7 linked regions of the Cricetulus griseus genome follow. The protein of the gene in region 5 interacts with the protein of the main gene of each other region in a biochemical or structural test. Links are inferred from orthologs where the notes say so. Each region holds a gene or a part of one and is shown on either strand. Other genes may lie near its edges.

The links.
Region 1: of the proteins of Pml (region 5) and Senp1, one has a biochemical effect on the other in vitro, tested with the Homo sapiens proteins (2 studies listed by BioGRID). The link is inferred for Cricetulus griseus from reciprocal best matches to the Homo sapiens genes PML and SENP1.
Region 2: the proteins of Pml (region 5) and transcription factor AP-1 form a complex in vitro, tested with the Homo sapiens proteins (2 studies listed by BioGRID). The link is inferred for Cricetulus griseus from reciprocal best matches to the Homo sapiens genes PML and JUN.
Region 3: the proteins of Pml (region 5) and Klhl20 form a complex in vitro, tested with the Homo sapiens proteins (3 studies listed by BioGRID and IntAct, with this or other methods). The link is inferred for Cricetulus griseus from reciprocal best matches to the Homo sapiens genes PML and KLHL20.
Region 4: of the proteins of Pml (region 5) and Rnf4, one has a biochemical effect on the other in vitro, tested with the Homo sapiens proteins (3 studies listed by BioGRID, with this or other methods). The link is inferred for Cricetulus griseus from reciprocal best matches to the Homo sapiens genes PML and RNF4.
Region 6: of the proteins of Pml (region 5) and Hipk2, one has a biochemical effect on the other in vitro, tested with the Homo sapiens proteins (2 studies listed by BioGRID). The link is inferred for Cricetulus griseus from reciprocal best matches to the Homo sapiens genes PML and HIPK2.
Region 7: the proteins of Pml (region 5) and histone lysine acetyltransferase CREBBP form a complex in vitro, tested with the Homo sapiens proteins (2 studies listed by BioGRID). The link is inferred for Cricetulus griseus from reciprocal best matches to the Homo sapiens genes PML and CREBBP.

The regions. Positions count from the first base shown.
Region 1 is NC_048595.1:394,573,869-394,578,087, forward strand, and holds the start of Senp1 (sentrin-specific protease 1), read right to left. Parts: upstream 2,949-4,219; 5' UTR 2,371-2,948; coding exon 2,316-2,370; intron 1-2,315. Other genes in the region: Pfkm (ATP-dependent 6-phosphofructokinase, muscle type), read left to right, coding at 4,046-4,127. UniProt on the Homo sapiens protein: Protease that catalyzes two essential functions in the SUMO pathway.
Region 2 is NC_048595.1:53,811,146-53,815,348, reverse strand, and holds transcription factor AP-1, read right to left. Parts: upstream 2,934-4,203; 5' UTR 2,065-2,933; intron 1,948-2,064; 5' UTR 1,844-1,947; coding exon 839-1,843; 3' UTR 101-838; downstream 1-100. UniProt on the Homo sapiens protein: Transcription factor that recognizes and binds to the AP-1 consensus motif 5'-TGA[GC]TCA-3'.
Region 3 is NC_048598.1:30,929,689-30,934,069, forward strand, and holds the start of Klhl20 (kelch-like protein 20), read left to right. Parts: upstream 1-1,540; 5' UTR 1,541-1,689; intron 1,690-2,596; 5' UTR 2,597-2,637; coding exon 2,638-2,660; intron 2,661-4,381. UniProt on the Homo sapiens protein: Substrate-specific adapter of a BCR (BTB-CUL3-RBX1) E3 ubiquitin-protein ligase complex involved in interferon response and anterograde Golgi to endosome transport.
Region 4 is NW_023276807.1:103,322,564-103,326,964, reverse strand, and holds the start of Rnf4 (E3 ubiquitin-protein ligase RNF4), read right to left. Parts: upstream 2,891-4,401; 5' UTR 2,733-2,890; intron 1-2,732. UniProt on the Homo sapiens protein: E3 ubiquitin-protein ligase which binds polysumoylated chains covalently attached to proteins and mediates 'Lys-6'-, 'Lys-11'-, 'Lys-48'- and 'Lys-63'-linked polyubiquitination of those substrates and their subsequent targeting to the proteasome for degradation.
Region 5 is NC_048597.1:169,823,996-169,827,743, forward strand, and holds part of Pml (protein PML), read right to left. Parts: intron 1,738-3,748; coding exon 1,587-1,737; intron 600-1,586; coding exon 1-599.
Region 6 is NW_023276806.1:189,474,974-189,478,721, reverse strand, and holds part of Hipk2 (homeodomain-interacting protein kinase 2), read right to left. Parts: intron 3,109-3,748; coding exon 2,945-3,108; intron 2,314-2,944; coding exon 1,852-2,313; 3' UTR 1-1,851.
Region 7 is NC_048600.1:42,574,458-42,577,728, reverse strand, and holds part of histone lysine acetyltransferase CREBBP, read right to left. Parts: intron 2,528-3,271; coding exon 383-2,527; 3' UTR 1-382. UniProt on the Homo sapiens protein: Acetylates histones, giving a specific tag for transcriptional activation. Mediates acetylation of histone H3 at 'Lys-18' and 'Lys-27' (H3K18ac and H3K27ac, respectively).

The sequences.
Region 1 (4,219 bases), on a different chromosome or scaffold from region 5:
TGAAACCACAAGTGGTATTGAATTGTATATGCACACACACATACATACACACTTCCTATACATATAGCTCTAAGAAAGTTTAATTTAATTTAGAATAAGAGATTAACAACAGTAACAATTTGGGAGGCAGAGGCTGGTAGATCTCTATAAGTTTGAGGCAGTCTGGTCTACATAGTTCTAGGCCAGCTAGGGTTATATAACAAAACACACACTCTATGTGTATGTGTTCTCATGAATAGTCTATCTCAAAATATAGAATTTTCCATCTATTTTCTAAATACAGTTGACTGTAACTGTAACTGCAGAAAGTGAAGTTACAGATAATGAATTTTCCCAGAAAAGGGTTGGGGTAGTTAAGAGCCTAACTGCTTGGAACTACGTAATTAACATAACCACACATGTATACACACCCCCACTTTTAGTACCATAGTTAAGACTGAGTACTTGGTTCACAAGTCCACAGCCATTCTGAATTCTCCAAGTATTCAAGGGACTGAGATGTCAACAGGCTTTTTCAATGGTCACAATAACAAAGAGCACACAAGGAAGGCTGCTTCAGTGAGCAGCCTATCAACCAAGGTCACTTTCTAATTGTGAGTAGCCCACTCCACCCATCTTTTTTAAAAAGACTGCCCAGCCTGGTGGTGGTGGCCATGCTTTCAATCCCAGTGCTTTCGAGGAAGAAGCAGGCAGATCTCTGTGAGTTCTATGACAGCCTGGTCTAGAAAGGGAGTTCCAGGACATCCAGGATTGTTACACAGAAACCCTAACTCACAAAAAAAAAAAAAAAAAAAAAAAAAAAAAAAAAAAAGGAGAAGGAAAAGACCAATTTAAGAGTATGGTATCCAGAACTTGGACGGTAGAAAGATTCCAAGTTTGGAGTCACTCTGAATTATACAGCAAGATGCTCTCTCAAAAAGAAAAGAAAATCTGCTATCCAGAAGAACAACCCCAGTTAATTTCTTTTTCATTTTAGAGATGTGGAAGGGGAAAACCTACTACAAAGTCAGTAATTCAGAAAAGTTAAATGACTTGCATGAAATCACACCAATGAGGCCAAAGGAAGAATTCCCCAGCAAGAGCACATCTGAAGCACAGCACAGCCTCACATCCCTCAAACACCCTCATTCAAAGATTTACCTGGGCAATTGAAAAATAACCTCCGACTAGCTTTGGTCATCTATCCTGGCTTATATGTTTAGATGGCTAGAGCTCTATGTTTACACCTTAATACAATACATCTTGCTTCTGCGGTGTGCTTCTAGTACCTACGTTTATAATAGTGTTGGAAGAGAGTTAAAAAACAACAACAAAACCAAGATTCTGCATGAAGTCATAGATAAGGAGCCTTAGATGTCATCAAATTCTAGCAAGGATGACAATTTTTTTCTTTTAAGAAAATCTTTCTTGCCGGTGGTAGTGGCACACATCTTTAATCCCAGCACTCCAGAGGCAGGGCCAGGTGGATCTCTGTGAGTTCTAGACCAGCCTGATCTACAGAGTCAGTTCCAGGACAGCCAGGGCTGTTATAGAGAAACCATGTCTCAAAACACCAAATAAATAAATAGATAAATAAATAAACAAATAAATAAATTCATAGGCTAGTAAAGGATGCCAGATGTATTCACAGATCCAGCAAAACTGGTACAACTAGTAGGAGAAACAGATGTCAATGAAAGAAAGAAATTACATCACTCTTTAGCCACAAGTGGCAGAACCTGTTTGTCTACTCATCCACTTCCTCTTTAGACGTAATCCAACAGATGAGTGACAGGATATCCACTTTTGCAGTTGGGATAATTAACTGAAATCAGGTAAAATGAATGAATGAAGAAGCACTCTAAAAGGGACAGGGACTGGGAGCAGGCAGTCTAATTGGAAGATTAAGGTCATTCGTTAAGGTGTCACTGTAACATCAAAGGCACTGTACTTCACATGTCAGCAAGAGTCCTGAATGTAGGTAAAAGGCTAGATCCTGAATACAAATGATCTTTAGGGAGAATACTTATGCATATTACCTACTTCATCCAGAATTTCCCATTACAACGAAAAACTTTAAGTCAAACAGTTGACAGGCTATAAAAGACGACAGAAATTGTTACAGGAATCACCACCGCTCTAACACAAGAAGTATGTCACACGAACTAAATAATTTTAACAAGTGTGAGTTTAAAGTGATAAAGGAGCGAGTTATTGCCAACAAGATAACAGAAAAACTGTAGAGGTACTGATAAAACAGAAATCACCAAGCTCGAGACCAGGGAAACCTAGCACGTATCCAGAAAGATCACGAAGCAAAGGTTCAAGACAATTACCAAGAGGCGATGAGCCAGGTAAGAAGAAAACTGTGGCAGTTAAGGGAGTTTTCATAACCTGTGCAGGAGGGTCCAGACGTTTCTCTCTGGTGGTGGCACTAGCGATATCGCATCTCAGGGAAATACCACAGGGTAAAAGAGTTGTAGAATTGTTTGCGTGGGACACAGAAGTAGTCGAGAAGTATCATTCAGGTCTCAAAGAAGACAGGTGAAGCAGGTGGGATTGAAAGCTGAACTTCTTGGTGGAAACAGCTCTCTCTCTCCCTTGGAGGGGACCCTGCTCTGGCGGGAAACTCCAGGAATCCCAACCGGCCTTTTTCTCTGTGGAGAAGTAGAGCTGGGCGCTGAGAGGGGCCTGCTGTGACCGCCGGGAGACGGCCTCTCCGCGGGTCAGGAGACGGAGGCCTCAAAGGGCGGCCTCAGGAAGCCCAGCTACCAGCCCCGGGTCAGACAGCCGCCACCGGACAGCAGGGGGGAGTGGAGGTGGTCCCAGGGGGCGGGGCGGAAGAAAAAGCACAGTCCCCACCGCGGTCCTCGCTTCCGCTCAGCCCCGCGGAGGCCGGCGGGCCCGGTCCGACACAGACTCCCGGCCCAGTCTCCCTCCATCCTCACCCCTCCCCCAGTTTCCCGCCGCCACTCACCGAACCGGAACCGGCTGCTAGGCAAAGGAGTTTCCGGCCGGGCTCAGAACGCAAAGCCCGGGAACCTCCGTGAACCGGAACCGTCTTTACGGCACCGGAAGACGGCTGGGCAGCCGCCGAGGAAGAAAGGGGGTGGGGCAAGAGGTCAAAGAGCAGAGTTACGGACTCGGGGGACGCTTGCGCGAGGTGGCGAGGCTGAGAAGCCAAGGAAGCGTTTGAGTCTAGTCTTAATCGCCCCGTCAGGCCCAGACTGATCTTTTCTTCTTTCTCACACTTGGAGTGCTGTTAGTGCGCCCACCGTCCTTTGATTTTCTCTGTCCCTCCGCTCCCTTACCCGCTGTCTTCTGGTTCCGTTCGTTGATTTTTTTTTTTTTTTTTTTTGCTTAGGTTCAGGTTTCCATGGCAGCTTTTCGCTGTGGCTTTACATAGTTGTGCCTTCCTTGACAAATGAGGATTTGAGATCTAAGTCGATTTCAAACTATATCTTCTGGAAATTAGTGTGCATCTTGTTGCGCTTGATTGATCACAGGAAGTAGGGCTGGGGTAGCAACCAGAGACTGGGAAGAGAAACTCCGGGAACATCTTAGCTTAGACTCTAACAGCCTGCAGAACCTTAAGTAACTGGAGGAATTTAAATCAGTGATTTCTAATGGGGCACACCAGAGGTCTTAAACATGTAATCTATGCCAAACTTTTAAGTTTGTTCATTCAAATTATTTACCAAGCTCCCTAATTTAGTAGGTCTCTGGGTCAGACCCTACTTAGAAGCCTTGGAGAGGTGCTTCAGAATTCTAGACCCAGTTAACTGCCTGTCTGAATTCAGTCTTGAAGTAGGGAAAACCTCTGAAGCTCGCAGCCTTTTCCATACTATCAGCAACTGGGAAAGGGAAGGATCTGAACTTGCTTGTTCGGGGATCCTGACTTGTATATATAAAAGTAGATTATGATATCACCTTATATACTGATTTTTTATATGGCCAAGTCCTAAAACCCAGCAGTATTAAGTATCCCTAGACCATGTCAACCTTTGACACTTTGTTCTACATCTATTTATTTGGATCAAATTCTCTTTATTTCTAGGAAATAGCCATGAGTAAAAACAACATTCGTGTGAAATTTTTCATGTGTGTGATTAAGGCTCGACGAGTAGTCAGGAATGCTCAGAACACAGGTACCATTGATTAAGCTACAGTGGCAAGGGATGAGTTTCTCAGAGCTATACAGGATGAGAGCTTCTGGTATAATCATAGACTTAAGGGGTCA
Region 2 (4,203 bases), on a different chromosome or scaffold from region 5:
AAACAGAGAACACAGCTTTTACTCTAGCGAATTTGACATTCAGCTGTTATTCCATCTAGCTACTATTATCTATGGATAATGCAGCAAAGAGGTTGGGGGCTACTTTTCAATAGTTTATTGTATTTTCTTAAATATCCTTTCTGGAAATTTTCAGAAACAAAACATAAAAAAATTATATACTTTATTACAAATGGTAAACTCAGAATGCTTCAAATCTCTTATTTACAAACAACACTGGGCAGGACACCCAAACAAACAAACATGGAATAACTTACAAAGGCAGGAAGCTGTTTATTGACAGTAATCAGCTTTCATCAAATTAAAAAAAATATATATGTACATACACAGTTGAGGAAGGCAGGCCAGGGGAGTTCATCTGCAGTCTAGCCTGGCACTCACGAGCCTCCCTCCCCTCCCTAGCCCTCCCTGCTTTGTGTTCTTAAGGAGCACTACAGAAGCAATCTACAGTCTCTATTGCAGTTTGTAACCCCTCCCCGCCCCCCTTTAATACTGAATGAGATCGAATGTTAGGTCCATGCAGTTCTTGGTCAATGTTAACGAAAAGTCCATCGTTCTGGTCTCGCGGGCACAGCCCGATCGCAAAGCCTAGCAGCCAACAGGCCGCCGCTCTCTGGCTCCATGCCAAGGCAAGGCGCGCCACGTCCTTCCCACTCCAGCACACTGGGGGCGCCGTCAGGACGCAACCCAGTCCATCTCGTGTACCCTTGGCTTCGGTACTCGGGCACTTTTTTTTTTCTTTCGCAACCAGTCAAGTTCTCAAGTCTGTCTTTGTTATATTTTTTTTCTTCCATTGCCCCTCAGCCCTGACACTCTGTCCTCAAAACGTTTGCAACTGCTGCGTTAGCATGAGTTGGCACCCACTGTTAACGTGGTTCATGACTTTCTGTTTAAGCTGTGCCACCTGTTCCCTGAGCATGTTGGCCGTGGACGCCAGCTCCGAGTTTTGCGCTTTCAAGGTTTTCACTTTTTCCTCTAGCCGGGCGATCCTCTCCAGCTTCCTTTTCCGGCACTTGGAGGCGGCGATGCGGTTCCTCATGCGCTTCCTCTCCGCCTTGATCCGCTCCTGAGACTCCATGTCGATGGGGGACAGGGGCGGGGTCTCTCCCGGCATCTCGGGCACGGTCTGGGGCTCTTCCTTCAGGGCCTGCAGCCGCGGGTGCTGCACCGGGATCTGTTGGGGCAAGTGGTGCGGCGGCTGAGGCGGCTGCTGCTGCTGCTGGGGCTGCGACGGAAAGGCCAGCCCGGCCGCGCCGTAGGAGGGCGCCCCGCCGCCGCTGCTCAGCGCACCCGGGTTGAAGTTGCTGAGGTTGGCGTAGACCGGAGGCTCGCTGTGTAGGCTGGCGCTGTAGCCGCCGCCGCCGCTGGCGCCGGCTACCGAAGCCACCGCGGGAGCCACCATGCCCGCACCGCTGACCGGCTGTGCCGCCGACGTGACGCTGGGCAGCGTGTTCTGGCTATGCAGTTCGGCCAGGGCGCGCACGAAGCCCTCGGCGAAACCCTCCTGCTCGTCGGTCACGTTCTTGGGGCACAAGAACTGGGTGGGGGTCGGCGTGGTGGTGATGTGCCCATTGCTGGACTGGATGATCAGGCGCTCCAGCTCGGGCGACGCCAGCTTGAGCAACCCAACGTCGGGCGACGTGAGGAGGTCCGAGTTCTTGGCGCGGAGATGCGGCTTCAGGTTGCCCACCGGGTCGGCCAGGTTCAAGGTCATGCTCTGTTTCAGGATCTTGGGGTTACTGTAGCCGTAGGCGCCGCTCTCGGACTGGAGGAACGAGGCGTTGAGGGCATCGTCGTAGAAGGTCGTTTCCATCTTTGCAGTCATAGAACGGTCGGTCAGTTCACGCGGGGTTCGTCTGGGCTGCGCGCTGAAGTTTCGGGGCCGCAACAGCGCGCTGGGAAGCGGGGGACACCCGCGCGTCCCTGCGTCTGTGACAAGTAAAGTTTGTCTAAGAGCGCGCGCTCCGGTCGGCAGTGCTCCCCCCCTGCGCCCTCCTCCCCAGCTCGCTCCAGGGAGCGCAGGGTTAAGGTACCGCCTTCACTCACGTTGGTCGGCTCCCGCGCGCTGCCGGGCTTTGAAAAGTCGCGGTCACTCGCGGAGCGCTCTCGGGTAGTAGCAGTTCCTCGGAGACCGCAGACCAGCTCCAGCGACAGCAGCTCTCCGGCGGCGCTGACCAGTCGTCACGGAACTGTCGGTGGAAGCCCGCGATCGGGCTCCGCCGCCCGGACTCCGACAACTGTCCCCTCCTCCGCTGTGAGGGGGAGGGGGACGCTCGGCGGCCGCGGCTAGCGCTCGCCCAACTTCAGCCGCCTGTGCGAGCGGGGCTGAGTGTGGGTTCTTCCTCTTCTCCCCTTTCTTTACGGTCTCGGGGGCAGCCTAAGGCGCTGAAAAGGTTTGCAAAAGTTCGCTCCGGGCCACTTGTTCCCGGTCTTCTGGGTCAGGAAAGTTGGTGGTCGGCGTAGCCGCTCGCCTATTTCCTCGCTCGGGCAGGCACCGCTCTCGATGCTGTCAGCAGCGCAGGGACTTGCGAGCTGCTTCTCCGGGGAAGGCGGGAGAAGGGACTCTCCAAGTGCTCCCCAAAACACCGGTGCTGGAGCCGCGGGCGCTGGGTCCAGGTAGTCGGTGAGAAAATGAAGACAAACAGATGAGCAGCCCGGAGTCCGCGGCCGTCCAGATTGGCCGAGAACGTCCGTCCTTCCTTCCGTCCGTCCCGCTCTCTCTCTCTGCCTCTCTGTCTGAGCGCGTTCCTGCCAGGACGTCTCTGCCACACTCAGTGCAACTCTGAGTCCTTCTTATCCAGCCTGAGCTCAACACTTATCTGCTACCAGTCAACCCCTAAAAATAGCCCATGATGTCACCCCAAGGCCTTCCCATTGGCCTGCGTCGCTCTCAGGGGGGCGGGCCCGCCTGTCGCCATGGAGACCTCACCCCAGAAGATTCTTCTCTGGGCCCGCGAAGGCTCACGGGATGAGGTAATGCTCCGCTGCGCTCCTACAGTTGGGCCCTTCTTTCTCCTCCTCCCTCCCCCTCCCGCGCGGCGCTCAGGCTTGTGTTCCCGGGTTCCCTCCCCGGCGCGTCTTTCCCGGCCCGCCCGGTGCATTGTGGGCTGACGTCTTGGTTTGGCTGTCTAGTGACGGAGGCTGCCGGGTCGGCTGGACCCTTGCGGCGTCTGTCGGAGGCGGGCTCAAGTTCAGGGTTGGGGACGGGGATCGAGACACCGGCATCCAGAAAGCTGGGGAGGCTCGCTAGTGGCCCCGGGCGGAAGGCCTGGGTGGGGAGTGGAGGTGGCGCGCGCGCACGCACGCACACACAAGCACACACACACACGCACACACACGCACACACGTGAAGGGGCTGAGCGACCTGAGCTCCAGCAGGCTCTGCACCCCCACACTTCCGGGAGGCAGCGGCGCGGGTGAAGATGGTTGTGTGCGCCCCGGGTGCGGGAGCGAGAAAGTGTGTTGAAGTTGAACGGGCTTGAGTGTCCCTCCCACGTTGAGCACGCGTGGAAGTTTATCTCTTGGTTAAGTTCCAGAGGAGGATCTGTGCCGCTGTGTGCTCTACCTGGAAGCTAGAGATTTGCGGTACTAAGAACCGACTCGTCAGGGTCCTCGGCACAACACTTCACCCTCTGGAGACATGCGGGGAGGGGCTCGCTTTGCCTCAGAGGGACGCGCTTTCTAGACGTGAAATAAAGGGGCGACCCCAGCATCCATGGGGGTCAAAATCAACATTTAAGGGTTCAAAACTCAGGAAACCCCAGCGATCGCCTTTGCCCGGGCGCGTCTCGCGCATACGCAACCCGCGCCCGCCCTACCCCCCACCCCCCAGCTCCTGATTTGCTTCTGGGAAAACAAGTCTTGAGAGCCGCCGCCGACTCGCCCGAAAGTCACGCTGCCTAAGCGGGAGTCCCTGGTAGAAGCAGGCTAAAGTCTCCCCTCCCCGCCCGCTGGTGGATTCATATCCTGTGTGGCCTCTAGGAAGCGCTAGACACATGTAAGTGGTTTTTGTCCTAGGGTTCTGCTATCCGACCTCCATTCTCCACCACTTAGGACTAAAGAGGTGGCAAGCTCGGTTCTCTCATGGCCTAACTGCAATCTCGGAACTTCTCTGAGCTTTATTGGCCTCATCTGCAAGTAGAGCGGATGAGGTCCACCGTACCGGGCTGCCAGGCGTTAGTATTA
Region 3 (4,381 bases), on a different chromosome or scaffold from region 5:
TGTTGCATGATCCTGATGGGTGCCTTTGGGAGTGGGGGAAAGTAGACACAACAGCAATGACACAGGCATTAGGAACAAGTTGAAACAACAAGCTCAGTTTATTGCAGGAAGGGGTAAGCCTTATATACTCCCCCCAACCCTGCCCCAGGGGAGGAGATCCACTGAGAAGGCATCTGCTGAGGTGATATGGTCACTGTCCACGTCATCTCTCGTCAGACTTACTGCTATTGTCAAGGCCCTCTGGCAGACCCAGGCTAGCTGTTAGGAAATATCTACTGCGCATGCTGTAGGCCAGCTGTCAGGCCCCATTGAGCTTAGTTATCCCACAAAATTATAATTCATATTTTGGAAGACTCTAAGGGTCACTGTGAAGATGTCTTTTAGGCAATTTGCACAAAAGAAACCTAACTGCCAGCTGCACATATAAAATGACATTTCAATGAACCAGAGAAATGTACATCGAAACCATTTTATAGCCACCAGATTGGCAAAGTATAATTAAAGTTGAAAATACCAATAGTATAGATGAACAAAAACTCTTGAGCCTTTCTGAAGGGAGACGCAATGTAACTGTGGCCAAACTCTAGAACCATTGTACATGGCATTAAGTCCTGGCTCTAACCCTGATATGCTGTGCATCCCCAAAAGGTGCTTCACAGGTGCCCTTGCCCTTTTGAAAGTTATATAATGCTTTGGTACCATCAGCAAAATATGAATGATGGTCATAAATCCTTCAATACTGAGGACTAATCATCCACCCACTACAAGTTGATTAATATTAGGAATATTTCCTCTCAGAAACAACTATACAGAGTCTGTAGATTTCATTTAATGATCAGGTAAAGAAGATTTAGTTAAGTGCAGTATAGTTTTCAAAAATAAACAACTGATATACTCAAAACTGTAATCCTCACCTTTCCCCTATTTCGTTTGGTTGGTTTTAAAATATATTGTAAAAATAAGATGGCTAATTATTGAGGAAATTTTTGGAACAAAATACAAAAAGGTTTTTTTACTCTTGGTACTAAAGTGGGTTCACACACACAAAAAAGTATATTAAAGGAAAATGATGCCATCAGAATATTGGATTAAACTCCAGTATCTTGAAACTGTGCTGTGGAAAATTAGAGGGAAAGGTTTGTGATTTGTCTTGTGATTTGTTTGTGTATCCTCAGACTTGCACATAGTAGGAGCCTGATAGATACTAGTCAACTCCTTGTATGCATGAGGTAAGAAATCAATCCACAATCATGGACCGCATTGCATCCCCTAAAAAGGGACCCAAAAGCTACAAGCAAATCAAGATTCCTAGCTTCCGGTAATACTTACCATCTTCCTGTTGCCTATGCTGTAAAACATAGCGGGGGGAGGGGGAGAAGGAGGCGGAGGGGAGGAAGCCTCCGTTTTTAAAAAAAATCAATAAATTATCCGGAAACACTAAATAGGAAACACACAGCGCGAGGCGCAGCAACTTCCGGAACCAGGACGGAACCACTTACCCGAACATGTGCAGTTCGGCGGGAAGGATTTAGGAACAGGATCACTTCCTGCTTCTGGATAGGGGCGGGTGCCGAGAAAGGAAATCGCTGTGGGAGCCGCATCCTGCCTGCGCTAGCGGCGCCAGAGGTGGAGGCAGAGAGGGCGGAGGAGGCAGAGAAGGGTGCTGCAGAGAAAAAAGTGTCAAAGCCAGTAAGTCAGAGCCTTAGAGCAGGGGATGGAGAGCAGAGCTCCAGGTCTCGCTGTGCGGATCTGTGATCTCAACTTGCCGAACTGCCCCAGTGCGGTTAGGGCAGTGCTTTGTAGGTCGCCTGTCAGTCAGCCCCGAAAAGAGACTATTGGGGCGCCCGGGTTGGGCCTTGCGGGGCGCCAGACTGCGCTTCTTGCCGGCCGACCAAGGTGTCTTGAAGCCAGGGGAAGCCTGTGCTGTGCTGTGCTTTCTGGGGACGCTAGGGCTCCGCATCCTGGACAGCTTCACTTGGGATTCTGAGGGGAGTGAGCACTGTGCTTCCCACGTCACCTTTGGAAGCCAGTGAGATCCTAGTGGTGGACAGTATTTCGGGGAATAAGACAAGGGCTCTGGAGAGTGTAAGTCTGGAGCTATACTTTCCCTGCCCTTGTTCAAGCTGTCCGGGCTGGTCGGAAGCTGAGTTGTTTTTAAAAAGCAAATGCCTCGGCCTGCTCTCTGTCACTTCGGAATGAGTTAACAACCTTCCAGTGTTTAAGACATGTTTCCGCTCCGACTCATTGAGTTAGAACTGCTGTGGTATCAAGTGTTTGTTCTGCAAATATGCTTGGGGGCGAAGTTCAAAACGAAACAAAAATCTCCAAGTGCATTTCGAACGGAGACAAGACCGAGAAGCTATCATGACTACTTTCACGCTTTCCCTCACCTTCACGAGTAATCAATTGACTTAGCCTCCTTAGTTAATGATAGGCATCTTAAAGGCATTGCATTCTCTTATGATTATGCATCTGCACAAAAAATATGTCGGGATGTAAGATTCTTGATTACAGACGAAATGAGTGAAATGATTACAAAGGTTGCTGGAGAATCAGAAACAGTTTTTAGTAAGTTACTGCTTTTCTCTTGCTTAAGGTACGGCTTTTGAATACGGTGAAAGATACTTTTCATGGTGCATGGAAGGAAAGCCAATGCGCAGGTAAGCCATTTAAGATTTCACTGATTGAAGCTTAGCGGCTATTAACAGTGCATCGTTTAAAATCATTTTATTCACAAACCGTACTAAACCCTGCTTGGAATTGATCATTCTTGTTTCAAGTAAATCAAAACTAACAATGTCAGAAATTAGCAGCTTTTTTTGTTTGTTTTGGATTGTTTTTCGTTGTTGTTTTAAATAAGAACTTATGTAGTCCTGGCTGTCCTGGAACTAGCTCTTGTAGACCAGGCTGGCCTCAGGTTCACAGAGCTCATCTGCCTCTGTCTCCCAAGTGCTGGAATTAAAGGTGTGCACCACCACCCTCTGCAGCTTTTCAATGAAATGTAGGTGTTAGATTTCTAGGGAGAGTTTGGATTTTTAGGTCCTTAATACTTAAATATGCCTTTTTTGCATAGTAATTTTTGTTATATATAACCATAGGATGCTTTGTGTGTTTATTATAAATTTAATTCTTTGTATAATATAGAAGATTTCTGTTGCCAAATAAAAGTAGTATTTGTAAGACACTATACTGCATTCCTAGGCGTGGTTTGGTTGTTTTACTGGTGTTCAGTAATATATTATGTTTATTAAATAGTTGCATGAAGGAGAAGATTAAGGACTAAAATAGCTGTAGAAAAATAGAAGTGTGAGGAAACTATGCACAATTACAGGCTGTCTTGCTGCTAGAATTTATTAATGTCTTTTCTCAGTCCGTCCTAACAAATTATACCAGAATCTTTATTGAAACAAGTCAATTCTATTGACTCATTGTTTAAACTCATTATTGTCAAACTCTTATTTTGTAATATGTTGCTTAACATCAAAGATAAATAACACAAAGATTCTTTAAGAAAAGGGAAATTACAGCATAAGGACAGGGCTGGACATGACTGTGCAACCCTGTAAAGCCCAGCACCTTGCAGGCAGAGGCAGCAAGATCTTGGGATCACATTCAAGTAAAAGGAGAGAGAATATATATCCTTTTCCGGATTTGTTACTGATTAATCAATTGGCTTTGAACCATTTTACCTTTTCTTGCCCTGTTAACTTCGCTGGTGTATCTGCCTGTGATATTTAGAATTAATAAATGTTCACAAATGCTTTAAGATGTACAAATGAAAAGACATCATAGAGGTGACATGTTCCGTTAGGATAATGGACCCTGCATTATAGCTTACCCTACAGTAAGAATAAGAATTGTAAAGTACTAGAAGAAACTCACTACACAATATTAAGTGCTTTACCACTTCATTTTCTAGCATGATTACAAAAGCCACAGATTTTGTTTTATCCTCAGTTGCCATAGTATCATATCTTAAGTAATTGCTAAAATAAGAACTTAAAATTTTAAATTAAATTTTATTTAAAATTTTTATCATATAATATAGTTTGATCATTTTCTTTCCCCTCCCCCAGTTCCTCCCCACTCCCTAACCATGGAACTTCATGTTCTTTCTCTGTCTTAAAACACACACACACAATAACAATAACAACAGCAACATGGAGTATATTTTGCGCTGGCCTGCCCTGGAGTGCAGTTGATATACCCAGGGAAAACTGACTTTTCCTCTCAACAACTAGCAGTTGCAAATAGCTTCTTGGTTAGTGTGAAGCTTTGTGCCCAATCCCCTTCTCAGTGCTGGGATTTTATAAAGGAAAGTCAGACTGTGGCAACATTCTTAGTTTATTAGTAATTTCTGTATAAAATATTCACTTAACCA
Region 4 (4,401 bases), on a different chromosome or scaffold from region 5:
ACTCTAATTCAGAGGGCTGATTAGAGGTGTGCACTACCATGCCTGGCAAAGAACCTATACTCTAAGTGCTATGCCAAGACCAAAATAAGAGATATTCTAGAAGAAAACTGACGTGGAAATTAGTATGTCAAGGAACTGTTGGCTCCTCTTTCCTCCAACACAATCCTCCAGCACTATGACCTTAGCAAGGGTCCCACCATCCTTTAGTGCAAAGGAAGCCTCAATTTGATAGGGCTTTATCTACTTTCCACTTCCCTAGTATTTTGCACATAACAGATACTCATGATAATTGATTACAATGAGCAAATGACTTTGAGGGTGATGGTGTCCTTGCCATTAAAAGACCGAGAGTGTCTGGCCTTAGTGGTACAATCCTTTAATCTCAGCACTTGAGAGGCAGAGGCAGGCCTGTTCTATTCAGTTCCAGGACAGCCAGGCCTACAGAGGAAACCCTGTCTCAAGGGGGGGAAAAAGACCTAGGGTAGAACAGTGACCACTTATAACCAGGAAAAGACAGACACCCAAGCTTTTCTAAAGTTGTGAGGGTGAGAGAGAAACATTCATGCTAGGGTATCCAGGTGTTAATTCCAAAAGAATGATTCCATGAAACCAAAGCATGTTGTTACATATACCTATAATCCCAGATTTTGGGAGACTGAAGCAGAAAGACTAAGAGATAAAAGCCAAGAAGCAAGCAAACTAAATGAAGGCAAACCAGAAACCCCAGAATGTTACAAATACTGGATTCGAGGGATTCAGGTAGAATGTCCCTGGAAAACTCAAGACAATCAGAGCAAGGTAATATTTCAATTTCAGGATGTCTCCTGCTGCTACCTCCGTTCTAATTATCACAATGTAATATGGTTACACTACACAGCTAGCCTCTTTTCCCTAACTTGCCCTCACCTGCCTAGCTTCATTTGTAGTTATAGAAATGTGTGTCTTATAAAAATCACCTTACTATGCTAAAGCTCACAGGACTTATGAGTAAAAACATGTAATTACAGGCCCACTACAGGCCCACTACTCAACAACTTGACCAACGACTTTTAGAAAACGTGTAGTGTCCTTCTGCAAGTGTTAACTGACTGGCACAACTAATTATGATACTGTAAGCTTGTTTATGGAAATGAGCCTTAGTCTACCACATTAAGTTACTGTCAACCTGAGAAGGAATGCTTGCAGTACCACACCTGCATAACTGTGGCTCTTAAAGTAACGGAAGTACCTTTTGTAAGGTAGTTCAGCAGGCTTTAATTTTCTGATTTTTTCCCTGCTGTTTCTCAAAGAAACAGTACAGCAAACTCAACTTCCTACTATGTACAATGTGTTCCCTGTTACATCAACACCACTGGAAGGAATGTTAAGTCCAAAAAAGCATTTTAAGTAGAACAGTATTTCATTTCCAGGTACCCTAGATGTCACTCACTCACTCTAGGCTCTTTTCTATTACTGTGCCTTAACAGCTGGGAGACAGAGACAGGCCGACCTCTGAGTCCGAAGCCAGCCTGGTCTACAAAGCAAATTCCAGGACAGAGAAATCCACTCTCAAAAAAACCAATCCTGCCGCCCCTCCCCCCACCCCACCCCCAGTGGTAAACACCGTGTTAAAAAGAAAGCTTTTCAGAAAAGTTGGAAAATCACATTTAAGCAATACAAAGGCCAGCAAGACATCTTTCCACTCACTCCATATCGAACTCACAGGTAAACCCGAACCCAATTTGTTTATCCATAAAACAAGCACAGGGTGTATTTGGGGTGGGTGGAGCGGTTTCCCTCTCACCACTGTCAGGAACTATATAGTCAATCTGCGTCCAACCGCAGACAGAAAGACCTGGGCCTCTTCCCTATTTATGGACCTGAGTCTCCTTCAACCACTTGGGCAGCCTAAACTGAGCAGCAGACTGCAGAAGAACTGAAAGCTCGAAGCGCCTATGGGCACAGACAAGTAAAAAAAAAAAAACAAAAGCAGAAACGCCCAGATCTGGACTCCTCCCTCGCGAGTCAAGCGGTAGACAATGGCGTCCACTGCAACCGTGTTTAGGATTAAGATCAGGTTGTTTCCTATTCCTGTGTACAGATGTGCCGGGGAGGGAAGGACCTCAGAGGGTGCAGGGCTGGGCCAAGTCTCAATCGCACGCTTCACCAACCATTAGTAAGGCAGAAAGCGGCTCCTGGAAGCCCAAACCCCATTCAGTTCCAAGGCCCGCAAGCGTCCTCAACTCTCCCAGCTTAGACAGGGCCCGCCACGCGGCTTGGGTGCCCCAGTAAACTCGCAGGCCCCAGGAAGGCGGGGCGGCGGCGCCAACACACAAAGGCTGCGTCGTCACCGGTGAACAAAACCCTTGCTCAGAGATCCTCTCCAATCGGCCCGCCCAGCCAAAAGAGTGACCTTGGACGCGTCCTTCCCCTCTTTGAACCTCAGTTTCCCTTCCTAGTTTGCAAAAGAAGTCCATCCGGCCAGGCCGCGGCCAGGTGGGCGAGAGGCGCCCCAGAGAGAGACTTCCCTATTTCCGACGCGAGCGAGCGAGCGCCGCGCCGGGATCCGACACCCGCGCGCTCTCGGGGGCCGAGGAGGCTGAGTGGGCCCGACCCCGAGAGGTGCGGTCCCGGGCTGCCGAACGAGCCGCGACTGGCGGGCACCAACTCGGCTGCAGGTCGAGAAGCCGTCCGCGCCCCCACGCCCTCGCCGTCCTGGCTTGCCGCCTCCATCCTGGGAAGCCTGGTCTTACCTGGAGTTGGTGAGATCAGGCAGACGCCACAGCCAATGCGCTCCAACAAGGACGTGCCTCCTCCACCAGCCGCTGAGGCGACCCGCTCAAGCACGACTCCACCGCCTCACCGAGACCCACTTCCGCTCGGCCGGCCCTGGCCCGCCCTTCACAGTCCCCATTGGCCTTCGCCGCCCTTATTCCCGTGCTCTACCGGTTTAGGAGGCTCATTTGTAATTCTATTGGGTAAGAGAACTATCTATTACCACTTTGAAATGCACCTTCTTCCGGCCACGCCCCCGCCTGCGTGCCCGAGTTTCCACGTCTCGCGAGAGTTCCGCCGGTCGCACTCCTCCCGCGAGAACTTGGTGGTGTCGTTGCTGGGGCGCTGTGCGAGCTTGCTCACCTGCTGCTTGTGACCGACCCTTGTCTTCTGACCTGGTTTACAAGCGGCCTCATGGCCGCCACTAACACTAAACCGTAGTCCCCACCAGTCACTCCATGCCCATCTCAGGCTCCTCGGTCGTTGATGACACCTACGGGAGACTGGCCCAAGGTCCCAATTTTCTGGTGATCCACAGGCAACCTCGCCGGGATCCGCACCCCAAATGCCAGGCCCTGAGTGGGCGTGTCGGCCCCCACGCTCTTCACACGGGTCCCATCGGGAGTCCCGGAGGCTCACCTGGAGGAGGCTTGAGGACTAGACGGGAAGAGAACGTCCAGCTAGACATTTTGTGTGCCATAGCCGGGGGCGGGGGTGGGGGAGGTGCGTGCATGCCCAGGAAACTGCAGGCTAGCTGCCCAGTGTGTCAGGAGCAGAGGCGAGGGGTGAGGAAGACAAAACTCAGAAAGGAACACAAATGCTAACTACTCGCTGTCCTTCAGAAGAATGACCTGAGAAGAACCGGCCTCGGGAAAGGCTAGAGCCTGGAATTCTTGGGTCTTGGGACATCTCATGTCCCTCCTATCTATCTGATAATGAAAACCAGCAGCATGATTTTAGGCAAGTCTCAGCACATTCACAGCTGTTAGAGGGGATCCATTTTACCTACTTAGGAGAAAGAGTGTGAGGCTTAACAGATAATACTAGTGCATGCTAGGCCCTCCTAGAGTGCAGCAAAACAGAATGGCACTACAAAAACAATGCTGTTTTTCTTGAGCACCTGCCTTGACAATTAGAAAATGATTGATAAATAGCAACTAGAAAACATGAATGGTGACCCTCAGGCTGTATGAAGATTGCTGTAAATGTGCTTCTGTAGAGTGCATTCAACTGGAATGACAGCAGGTCAAAACCCAGCGTTAATGTTTGTGCTATTACAATCTCTGATATTTTATGGAATTTTAAGGGAATTTATGATGAAAGTAGGTCTGATAGACACATATCTGACTCCGATGTAAAATGTGTGTTTGGATGTCTTGAGTATATTCTTCAAATGTTATAATTGGAATAGAGAAAATTTACAAGTTTGAAGGGAAATGTTGGCATTCCTTATGAAAATATTTTGAATATTTAATAAGGCATGTGAGAGCAGAATAGGAACAATACACCTTGCAAGGTAATGGGAGAGCAAAATAGGAAAAATACTTTTCAAGTTAATAGGACATTTTATATGTAGAATATAGTTCAAAGTGTCTAAAGAAATTTCAACTTATAAGCAGGACCGTATATGTCTAATCAAAATCCTAC
Region 5 (3,748 bases):
CTTCAAACCCTCTTGCTGGTTGCTGCGGTATGCAGTCAGCAGTTCTAGAAAGCTCACATTGTGGAGGGCCAAGAGGCGGGCCTCGGCCGGGGGCAGGACACTAGCCTGAACTAGGGGCTGCAGGGAAGAGAAGCACTGTAAGTTACTGAAGGGGTAGACATGCTGGACCAGCTGTGGCCCTGGGGAGACCTCAAGGAGGCAGCACAAGTCTCGCATGGCCAGCACAGCAGCCAGGGCACTCCGTTCACTCATGTTTCTCGCCAGGTAGGTCTTGGCCAGGTTCCTGAGTTTGAAGCTGCTGGCACCGGGTATGCGTTCCTGAATGAGAGGCAACACAGCCAAGAAGCCGTAGATGGCACCCTGGAATTCCCACAGCTTGTTAATATCATCCAGGGCCTTGAAGAAAATGGGGAGCCCAGGCCCCCACAGCTTAGAGCAGGCCAAGATGGGGCGCTGCATGGAGGTGAGAAAGTTGAGGAAGTGCTGCAGTCCGACCTCCAGGGAGACTGCCTTAGAGTAGACACTGAAGGTCTCCGGCTCGATGAGTACTCGGAACTTGCTTTCCTGGTTCACAGCTGCCAGTTGGCTAATTTTCTGGGCTAGGCAGGAAAGAAGGGCAGGGTAAGGCTCCAGGGTTTAGGAGGCACTGGGTGCAAGGGGCCAGGCTGCTCACCCACTATCTAGAGAGCCCACCTTGAGGCCTGCTGGCAGGAACCAAATAGTTCTTGAACCAATGTAGTTCTTGCCTAGCTTTGATGGGACGGGTCGGGGGCTCACTTGTCGGCAAGGTGGTTTTCCCTATCCCTCCTGCCCTCCTAGAGTTTGCTCAATCCTAAGAACTCTGCCCTTTTTGTATTTTCTCAGCCTCCACCTCCACCAGAGACCCCAGAGGGTTTCTTCTGGGCCTTCTATAATCCTACTCCTACCTCCAACCCCATCAGTACCAGCCCAGGACTGAAGACAACAGAAATGGCCTGTGTACCCCCTAAGGGCATGGCCCAGAGTCTCCCCCTGAAGCCTACAGATGTGTGCTATGCAAATACCTGATGCTTCTGTCTGGTAGGCCAGCCACAATGGCAGGGCCCACAACTGTTAGCCAGGACAAAGGGTCAGAGCTGAGGGGCTGGGCAAGGATGACAGCGAGGAAGACAGGGGGCTTCTAAGAGGAGGAGTCACAACTCCCTGAGATCTAGGTTCTGCAAGCCTCCCTGTGTATCCCTTTGTGGGCTGGGCCCTGTTTGGGGAAATGTGTGATTGTAGCCAAAGGTCAAGTGTGGATTACTTGTCAGCAATGAGCTCACACACTGTTCCCAGACTCTCTGTATAGAGAAGGTCTTGTCAGACGTGAACCGATGGCATTACATATCTCCCTCCCATACCCACGTTCCACTTAGGCAGATATGGCAACATCAGATATCCTAGGTGGGGTCAGAGTCCTCTGTCTACCTGGCTGCCACAGCCTGTCAGTGCTAAGGGCTGGCTGGAGCCTTCCAGGTGTCTCTAACTGCACTTTTCCTGAGGACTCAGAGACTAAGATAAAAAAAGAGATGATGTAAAAGAGATGGTGTAGCTCTTGGGGAACCCACTTTCACTGTCAATCTTGAGGTCAAAGAAAACCAGGGCCCTGTCTTCCGCTTGGGGGTCAGCGAGGCTCTCGTCCGATGCCTTGAGGAAATTGGGGCCCTCCAGCTGGAGGTCACTGGATTCACTGCTGCTGTCTTCCAGCTCGAGGGAGGACTGCAACACAAAAAAGCCAATAGGTCAGGAGTTCAGAGGCCCGAAGGACCAGGTGAGATGACCCTGCACTCTAGAGCAAGTGTGCACACATACAGGAAGATGTAGGAATGTTACTAAGCTGGCACAGTAAGAGCATCTGTGTGCACCAGAGGGTAGAGTAGAGGGGATGCGTGTGCAGGTGTGAACTGGGTCACACTCCTTAGAGAGGGAGGTGTGAAAGGGCAAGACCATACAGGTGAGCATGGGTGTGTGTACAGATGTGTACGTGGGATGCACGTGTGAGGGGTATGAATCTATGGACAGTGTTGGCACAAGTATGTGAAGTGTGAGATGGGGTAGGGTGGGGTGGGGCAAGTTGTGCCTGCTTGCGGAGGCTCAGGGAAGGGGCCAATGCCTCAGGTATGCAAGGACTGAGGTATCTGCTCCAAATTTTTCCTCTCTGAGCAGACTCAGAAGAAACAAATGGCACAGATGAGAACGAGATAGGAGTCTCATCCACAGCCCCAAGCGATTCTTTGGAAGGGGCAGGAGCCTGGCTTTCCTAGCCCTCAAAACCAGATTGACCCATGGTGTCTTTCAGTTTAGGGAAAGGAAGGGCTACTTGGCCTCTTGACGTCCACATCTTGGTGGACATGCATTCCCTGGTTGGGAGAGGGTCTGGGTGGGAGCAGCTCGGAGCCTCAGATCCTGGAGATTTCAGCTCTCCACATCCATACCTCAGCTGCACTGAGGAGCCTTGGAGCTCAGGAACCCACCCCAGGCTTGCAAAAAGGCTTGGCTCTCCAGCGCAGTGGCAAGGTTGTCCTGGCTGGAACACCATTTCAAAGGCCCTAGGCCTCAAGGATGGGAAGGGCTCTCTCTACCTCTGAGATTTTCTCAAGGACCTGGAGCTACAGACAGGTTAGAGTGTCTGAGGATAATACATAGTCACTTAACAGCACAGCTTGTGAATATCCTATGCATGTCACTTTTGGACATTAGACAGGGCCAAATGGGACAGATGGGGAACTGCTGGGACAGAGCCGAGAGACGGCCCTGGTCTGTCTTCTTACAGACTGCTCTGGTTGTCAATGGAGTTATCACCTGGGGCTGAGACCTCTATTCGCTGTGGCCTCCAGCTAATGCCTCTGGCTTGAGAGAAAGCATAAGTGCTGTCTTGGTTGTTGTTTTGTTAACTTGACACAAGCTAGAGGTATCTGAGAAGGGTTTCTGTCTGTATGTGTCTATCCTCACAAGTGGACTTGGGGGCAGAGCTGAGCCACCCTGGCCTTGTCCTTCCCTGATCTGGGAATGTTCACTCTTGCCAGCCTTTGAAGAGCCGGCTCACTAGCCCAGTCGATTCTGCTGCCACTGGCATGACACACGGGCTTCATCTTCCTTGGTCTTCTTCTAGCTTCAAACATTACTTCAAAAGCCCCTTTGTGGCCCCAGGCGCTTCTACCTGACTCCTGGCAATGACTCCCATCTCCTTCTGGTGATGTTCCTTTATGCCTCAAAGGCAATCTTCCAGAGCAGGACACCTGGAGTGCCACACAGCTGGACTTTTCGGTTAGCGCCTTCATCTTCACACCACATGGCAGGAAGCCTCATTTCTAAGTCTGCCTTCTCTGAGGGAACCTGTGGGTGTCTCACTAACAAGATGCCTCCTTCCCTTCCTCTGTGCTGTAACCGGAGGAAAGGCTGGGTCTACCTTTTAGCCTAGACACAGCCCTGCCTCCCCCCGCCCCCCATCTCTGAGATCAGCCATGCACTAAGGCAGAGGAACACTGCAGTACTTAAGCTAGGCAGCTATAAACTCCCTATTCACCTCTTCTCTTAACTCCCAACCAGCCTGCAGGAGTGGACCACTTAAGCAAGACATTTCTAAAGAGGAGAGCCTACAGGAGGGCATACAGAGCATCTGGCACCAGAATCTTTTCCTCCTGGCTCAGCAAGGCAACCTCTGGTCACATCTGCAGCCCTCACTCCTCCATCTGATTCCAAAAACCAGAATAGGGTGTGAAGGAGGACA
Region 6 (3,748 bases), on a different chromosome or scaffold from region 5:
TAATTGTCCATGGGAGTGTTTCCCCAAATGTCCCCCCCAGCCCCTCTGCCTGCTGTATCTCTCAAGGTCAGAGATCAAAGTGTTTTGGGAGACCTAGGTTAACTTCAGGAAAAAAGCAACAGCAAACTCGCCATAGAGGCCTGTAGGGGAGAGTTGGTGACACTAGGGGCCCGATCTCAGTCCCTGGAGCTGGTGGAGAGACATGTGGGTATGTCAGAGACAACCAGGCTTCTTGTGGGATGGAGGGACTGGGGAGGTAACCAGAAATGGGAACAGGTCTCCTGCCTTTCCCCATATGGCTCCAGGAAGGAGGAGGTGGGCTTGGAGGTGAGGCAGCTGCCTGGCAGAGCTGACCTTCCTAAAGACCCCCTAGAGCCATGTGTGGCAGAGCTGGGGGTGGGAGGAGCTGGGTGTCTCTCTAGACCTCTGCCCTCAGAGTAAAACTCAGCAAAAGAGCCCGCTGTCACCAGGCTGCCCCACCTGCTCCCACATGCCACTTGAGATCCACAACTCTCCCCATTTAGTTACGAAAGCTTCTTTGAAACCCTCTGCTCACAAAGAGCCCAGGAAAGACAATCCACATGACATTAAAACGATACAAAAACAAGAAGACCCAAGTAAAATACTCTGACAGCTTAACACAAGAGCTGAGAACATATCTGACCAGGCCCAGCCAGTTTCTTGGAGTACCAGTGGAAGTAAACCCTTCACCTTGTCTGTCTGTCTGTCGGTCGTTAAGGCACTAGGAGGGAATGATGTAAAATCAAGACGGCAAGGGCTGTAACGGCGGTGCCAAGGGACACACGGGGAGGGTGGCAGCCCCGCTCACACCCACTCGTGCTCATGCACACTCACTCGCTCGCTTAGACCACCACATTGGTTCCATGCCTATGTTATATCACTTTTTTGTGCAATTATATTGAGGAATAGTCTATTGGTATCACTGGAGTTGAACACAAGGTAGGAAGCAAGGGCGCAGAGTGCTACATTCTACTAGGGTGTCCACGACGACCACTAGCCCTATGCTACAAGACTAGGGGTTGATTCAAAGAGAAAATAAAATCTCAGAAAAGAAAAATAATTAAAGACTGCAACACACATTACTAATGACATCTGAGGAATAACATTGCTGAGAGATTTATCCAGAATGCCCCAAAAGAGGAAACCCGCCTCTCTCCTGAGGGGTTTTCCATCAGTCTGGCTGACCCCACTATTCCTGACAAATGAGCCAGAATTGGGCTTTGCCAACCCCAGACCATCCCCCAAATATGAGCCTCCTCAGGCCATGGCCTGACATTTGAAAGGGGTGTTGACCCTTTTGGAGTTCTGGAAAAATCCCTAATTTTCATATTCAATTAATTAAAAATCTATTGGATTTCCACATCAGGTGTCCCTGACAGCAAATTCTTCAGTGTCACTTGCTGCCCTATGAAAATAATCTTTAAAAAGTTCATAAAGTTCTTCAAACACTGGGGCCCCTTGCTTCCAGAATCTTCCTGTAGCTCCTCTTTTCCTTTCCAGTTTGGTGCAGAATGGGTTTTGAGCTGTTTTTTTTTTCTTTTTTCCTCTTTTGTTACTAACATTTTTTCTTTTTCTTTTTTTCCTTTTTCTTTTTTAAAATAAAAAGCATAGATTTCCCACTCCTAATCCTTCTAAAATGTTCTCTGCTCTGCTCTGAGTCCTCCCACTTCCTAGTTCAAGTTTCATCTGTGTCCCAACTGTGTGTCCCTCCCCCTCCCCCCGTCCTGCCCCATTTGCATTGTTGGTGTGCGGCACCTGCAGTATAAAAATCCAGCTCCCTGGGTCTGTTGGGAGCTCCTCCACCCCGCTCCCTGCGGGCCCCTCCTGTGTTTATATGTAAGGGTACTGGTTGACCTTGGCAGGACTCAGTGGATATCCAGTGTAGACGGTGGAGGCTGGTGAGGCGCTGATGTACGTCTGGTGGGCAAACTGGGCCGGATACTGACTGGGGTGGATGGTGGGTGAGGGTAGGACCCGGGGCCCCATGCTCACAGGGACTTGGTGGACGATGCTGGCCGGATAGGCAGTGTGCTGCACAGTGTGGCGTGCTGAGCCTTGGGATGCCACCAGGTGGGCTACGGTGCCGGTGGAGCCTAGGGCTGTAGGTGCTGTATAGGTGTAGAGGTGAGGCTGGGTAGGAAGGTGGGCAGCAGCAGCCAGGTGGGGATGCACAGTGCCATGGCTGGGGCTGTTGTGCGGGAAGGTGTATGGAGCCTGGGCCATGGTAGGAGTGATGTAGGCCTGCTGTCGACGGTGATTCCCAGTCCGGTCTGTAGCCATGTGCTGCTGAGCCTGAGAAGGAAAAGTAGCAGAAGGACTGTGTTAGGGGGAGGAGGGGAAGGAGAAGGAAATCAAGACTGACAACAGATGCCTCCCTTCAAAAGCAGAGAGCATAAACATTTGTTTGGATTGGGAAAGTAACATCTGCCTGGCAAGTCACCAGACTAGGGCGACACTCAGCCAGTCCACAAAGCCAGTGGACGTTCTACTGAAGTGGTCTCTCTCTCTCTGAGTAGTGACTGCCTTCCCACATGTTGTGAAATCTCACTCTAAAACTGGTGACCTCTAGAACCAATCCAAACAAAGAGCATTCTCTCCTGTAGAGAACCCAAACCACTGGGGCACTTGAGCAAGTCGTAGGGTACATTATCCATGGGTCTGGGGTGCTGACTGCGAGGACTTCCTACAGTGAGGCAACTTCAGGGCTAGCCTGGTGACCCAGAGCAATGGCAGGTCACTATGCCCACCTTTTTGTGGGCCCATGTGGGTCATCTGACCAGCAAGTCAGCTCTGGCACCATGTCATTAAGTACTCTATCTTCCCTTTGCTTGGGTTGGCTCTCTGAACCAGTGATACCACCTTTCCCAGGGTTGGTCTAGCATAGGAATAAGCCATCAAGGCCCCTTAGGCTGCTGAGGTTTACCTGGCTGAGATTGAGGGGCTGCTGCTGCTGGAAATGGGGGCCTGGGCGTTGCTGCCGATAGGCGATGGCTCCTGATGAGCTCCCTGAAGAGTGGCCACTGGTGGAGGTCACGGTGCTGGAGGACTTGGACTTGAAGGAGGATGAATGGTGACTGGTACTAACGGCTGCAGGAGGGTGGAGAGGTCATAGGTTAGCGGCATGTCCTTGGCTATCTAGAAGACCTGCCCCCTCCCCTTGTAAACAATAGCCTTCCAGGAAGGACATGTTCCTGAGACTGCTCAGGCATGAATCACTCAGTCCCTGGGCCTGGTCAGGCATTCATTCACCTTGACTCTGGAGAGGCAGTTGGGCTCTGGCCTTCGGCTGCATACTGGGCTGGAGTTGCAAATGAGGGAGACGGGAGTAACAAAACCCAGGGTAAAGGCACAGGTCCAAGCTGGGCCCCACACTGGTCCTCTATGGCAAATGTATAGCAATACCTGGGAGGTGTGTGGAAGGAAGGAGGCCTGCCTGGATCCCTTCTGGGTAGCCAAGGGGATTAGACGTGATCATGCCAAGGGATGGCCCTAACAAACAACTGGGGTGAACAGCAGAAGCTGCAATAACCCTGCAGCTCTCCAGAACCAAGGCAGGATGAGACTAGCTCTCCCAGGGAGTGGCCTAAGAACCGAATGTGGCTGAAATACCAGCTGTTACTGACAATGTAGAGACTCTCTCCAGGCAGGAAGGGAGCCTTGCAGCTGGGGGTGGCATGAGAGTCTGCATTCTGGCACATCCTGGGTGCAATGCTGCTGGGTGGGAAGG
Region 7 (3,271 bases), on a different chromosome or scaffold from region 5:
CACCCCCCAAAACAAAACAGAAAAAAAAGAGAAAAAAGCTGAGAGAGAAAGAGAGACCGACCAGATATTTAAATCAACTGGTTTTTAACAAAAAATATATTCTTTGTATTGTTTTAGACATCAATCCACCCTTCCATGCTTGGGAGTCACAGTCCATCTAGGCGTAATAAAAAGAGCCCAGACGCCTGGATTTTCAGTACAAAAAGTCCAAGAACATGAAAGGGGAGGGGGGAAAAACAAAACAAAACAAAACAAAAAAAAAAAAAAAAAGAAAAAAAAAAGAAAAGAAAAAAAGAAAAAAGAAAACAAAAAACCCCCAAAAAATAATAAAATAAAATAAAATCCCAAAACAAAAAACCAAACACCCAATGCTCTCATAATGCTACAAACCCTCCACAAATTTTTCTAGTGTGTCTCCCGTGGTATCACCAACCAGGGACAGTTCACTGGACAGCGCGCTCCTGTTGGGGGTATTCAGCTGGGGGAGCATTGCACTCTGTTCGGGGTTCCCCAGGTGTCCCTGATCCATGGAGCTGGCCATGGTGACTGCGAGTCCGGGGTGGGGGGAGCCAGTCTGGGGTGAAACATGGTGTGGTGAAGGCTGGGGCTGTATCCGTGGTGATGGGCTGGAATGTGGAGGCTGGGATTGGGGCCGTGGAGACTGGACAGGGGCTGGAGACCGCACCTGGTTACTAAGGGATGTGGCGATCTGCTGGCCGGGGAGATGCGAGGCCTGTGGCTGTCCTGAGAGCATGTGCTGCTGGGGGCTCATGGGGTTCGGCTGGCCTGGGGACCCAATCTGCTGCTTCATCTGCTGCTGCTGCAGAATCCGCTGCTGTAGGGCCTGCTGAATGCTGGGGGTGCTGTCTGCCCCCAGCCCAGGCTGCCCCATTTGGCCAAGTTGTCCCATTGGAGCAGCCATCTGGCCCATGGAGCTACCCTGGATGGGGAGGTGCTGTTGCATACGTTGCTGCTGCATGGCTGGGGCGTAGCCTCCAGGTCCTTGTGGCTGCTGGAACTGGCCATGTCCTGCCATGCCCCCGGCCATGCTGGCACTGCTTTGTTGCTGCTGTTGCTGCTGTTGCTGCTGCTGCTGTTGGTGCTGTAGCAGCTGTCTCCTAACCATTTCTCGGTACTGTGGATTCATGTTTGCCATGTTGGGGTTGTGTCCAGGGTTCATGATGTTCAGAGCCTGTCCCTGGGGATTCAGGCCTCCCATCGCCTGTTGCTGTGGAGGCACACCAGGCCGTGGCACACCAGCTTGCATTGCATTCAGGTTCTGCAGGCTGGGCTGCTGGTGCATGCCGGGCTGGGGCTGCATACCAGGCTGGGACTGAAGTCCAGGCTGGGGCTGCATGCCAGGCTGATTGGCCACATACTTGGCTGTGCGCTGTTTAATGAAAGCTGCCATTAGCTGTGGGTTTGATTTGAGGATGTTCAGCACCTGCTGCTGCTGCTGAGGGGAGCTGGGCGACTTCAGGGTCCGAAGCAGGTCTTGCAGGGCACTTGGCGAGATGCTCCTTGGTGGCTGCACATTGGGCATCCGTGGCCCAGCCACTGCTGCCTGGGCCTGCATAGACATCACAGGCCTGGGCATGCCTGGCATTGGCTGCTGCTGGGGGATGGGTGCCTGCTGCCATTGCCCAGGTGGCATGCTAGACATGACAGGCCCACTGACTTGGTTGGGACGGGGCACATTCAGGCCCACAGGGGCCATCTGGCTCCCTGGGGTTCCCATACCTGCACGCCCTGGGGGCATGCCATTGTTGATGTTTGCTCGGTACAGATGCTGCTGCTGCTGGGCCTCACGTTCAATTTGCCTTGCTGCTTCTACTGCCGCAGGTGGGGGCTGGGCAGGAGGTGGGGGAGCTGGCACCTGGTTGGTAGGCTTCCCAGCAGACACTATCGTTGGGGGCTGAGTCCGGGCTACATTAGGGAAGCCAGCTGGTGACATGTTTACAGGTGAAGGCTGAGGCTGGGCAGGGGGCTGTGGTGTTTGGGGTGTGCTGGGCTGCTGTGTGGGGGTCCCAGGTGGTGCTGAGGTAGGAGAAGGCAAACTCTGCTGAGGCACATTGCGGGTGTTCATGGTGGCCATTCGACGGCGCATGAGCTGGGCCTGCTGCAGGCGATGCTGGATCTGCTGCTGGCGGAGCTTGTGTTTGATGTTGAGGCAGAAGGGCACAGGGCATTTATTTTCTTGGCAGTGTTTGGCGTGGTAGCAGCAAAGAGCAATGAGCTGCTTGCATACGGGGCATCCTCCATTAGTCTTGCGTTTACAACCCTTGGTGTGCTGCACTACTCGTTTCATCTTCTGGCAAGATGGCAGAGAGCAGTTGGCATTGCGACACTGGCAGGCATGGACCAGGGACTGGATGCAGCGTTGGATGCTGAGACGCCGGGACTCCTGGGGGCTCTTGGACTGTGGCTCACCTTGACTGCTGCCCTCATCGTCTAGGCCCAGTCCCCACTTCACCATTTTATGGGTGTGGCTCTTTGTGTTGTAGCAATTGATACAAAGGTCATAGTCCTGTAGAGAAGCAAAAGGGACAGACCAACATCAGCATAGGCCTAGAATGAGCAGACACCCTTGGGCAGGGGAAATAGTTAGGCCTGAGGCTTGAGCAGTTATTAATGATACCCTTCCTTCTTTACTTCATGTGCTTTGGGAAAAGCATCAAGACCTCCCCTTGAGACTTAACAGCAAGAACTAAGAATACCATGGCCATTTATTCCAAGTACTACCAGAGGATATGAGACACTATCCCTGGGAGAAATGAATCAAATGATCCTTCCCCAAAACAGATAGCCCAAGTGGCTGAGAGATACTTGAACTTAGAAACTAAAAAGGAAGCATTAAATCTGAAGAAGGATGGGGGCTTGGGAGATAGTTCAGCGGGTAAGAGGATTGGATGGTCAAACATGAGGACCCGAATTTGGATCCTCAGCATTCACACAAAAATCCAGTGCTTGTATCGCAGCACCAGGCAGGAAAGAGGTAAGAGGACTGCTGGGGCTTGTGGGTCACCAGTCTAGCTAAGGTTCAGTGACAGATGTTTTCTAAGGTTATGAAGTAAAGAGTTACAGAACAACTCTCCTCTGGCCTCTGTATGTACACACAAAAATAGTTTCCCTACACACATACCACCCACATCCACACATAAATCTAGAAAGAAAACACAAAATCCTACACTTTGTGAAATAGAAAGAAGACAGAGAAGCCTGGAGAAAGCTAGAGGAAAATAAGAATTTAAAGGTAAGAAAGAAGGAAGGG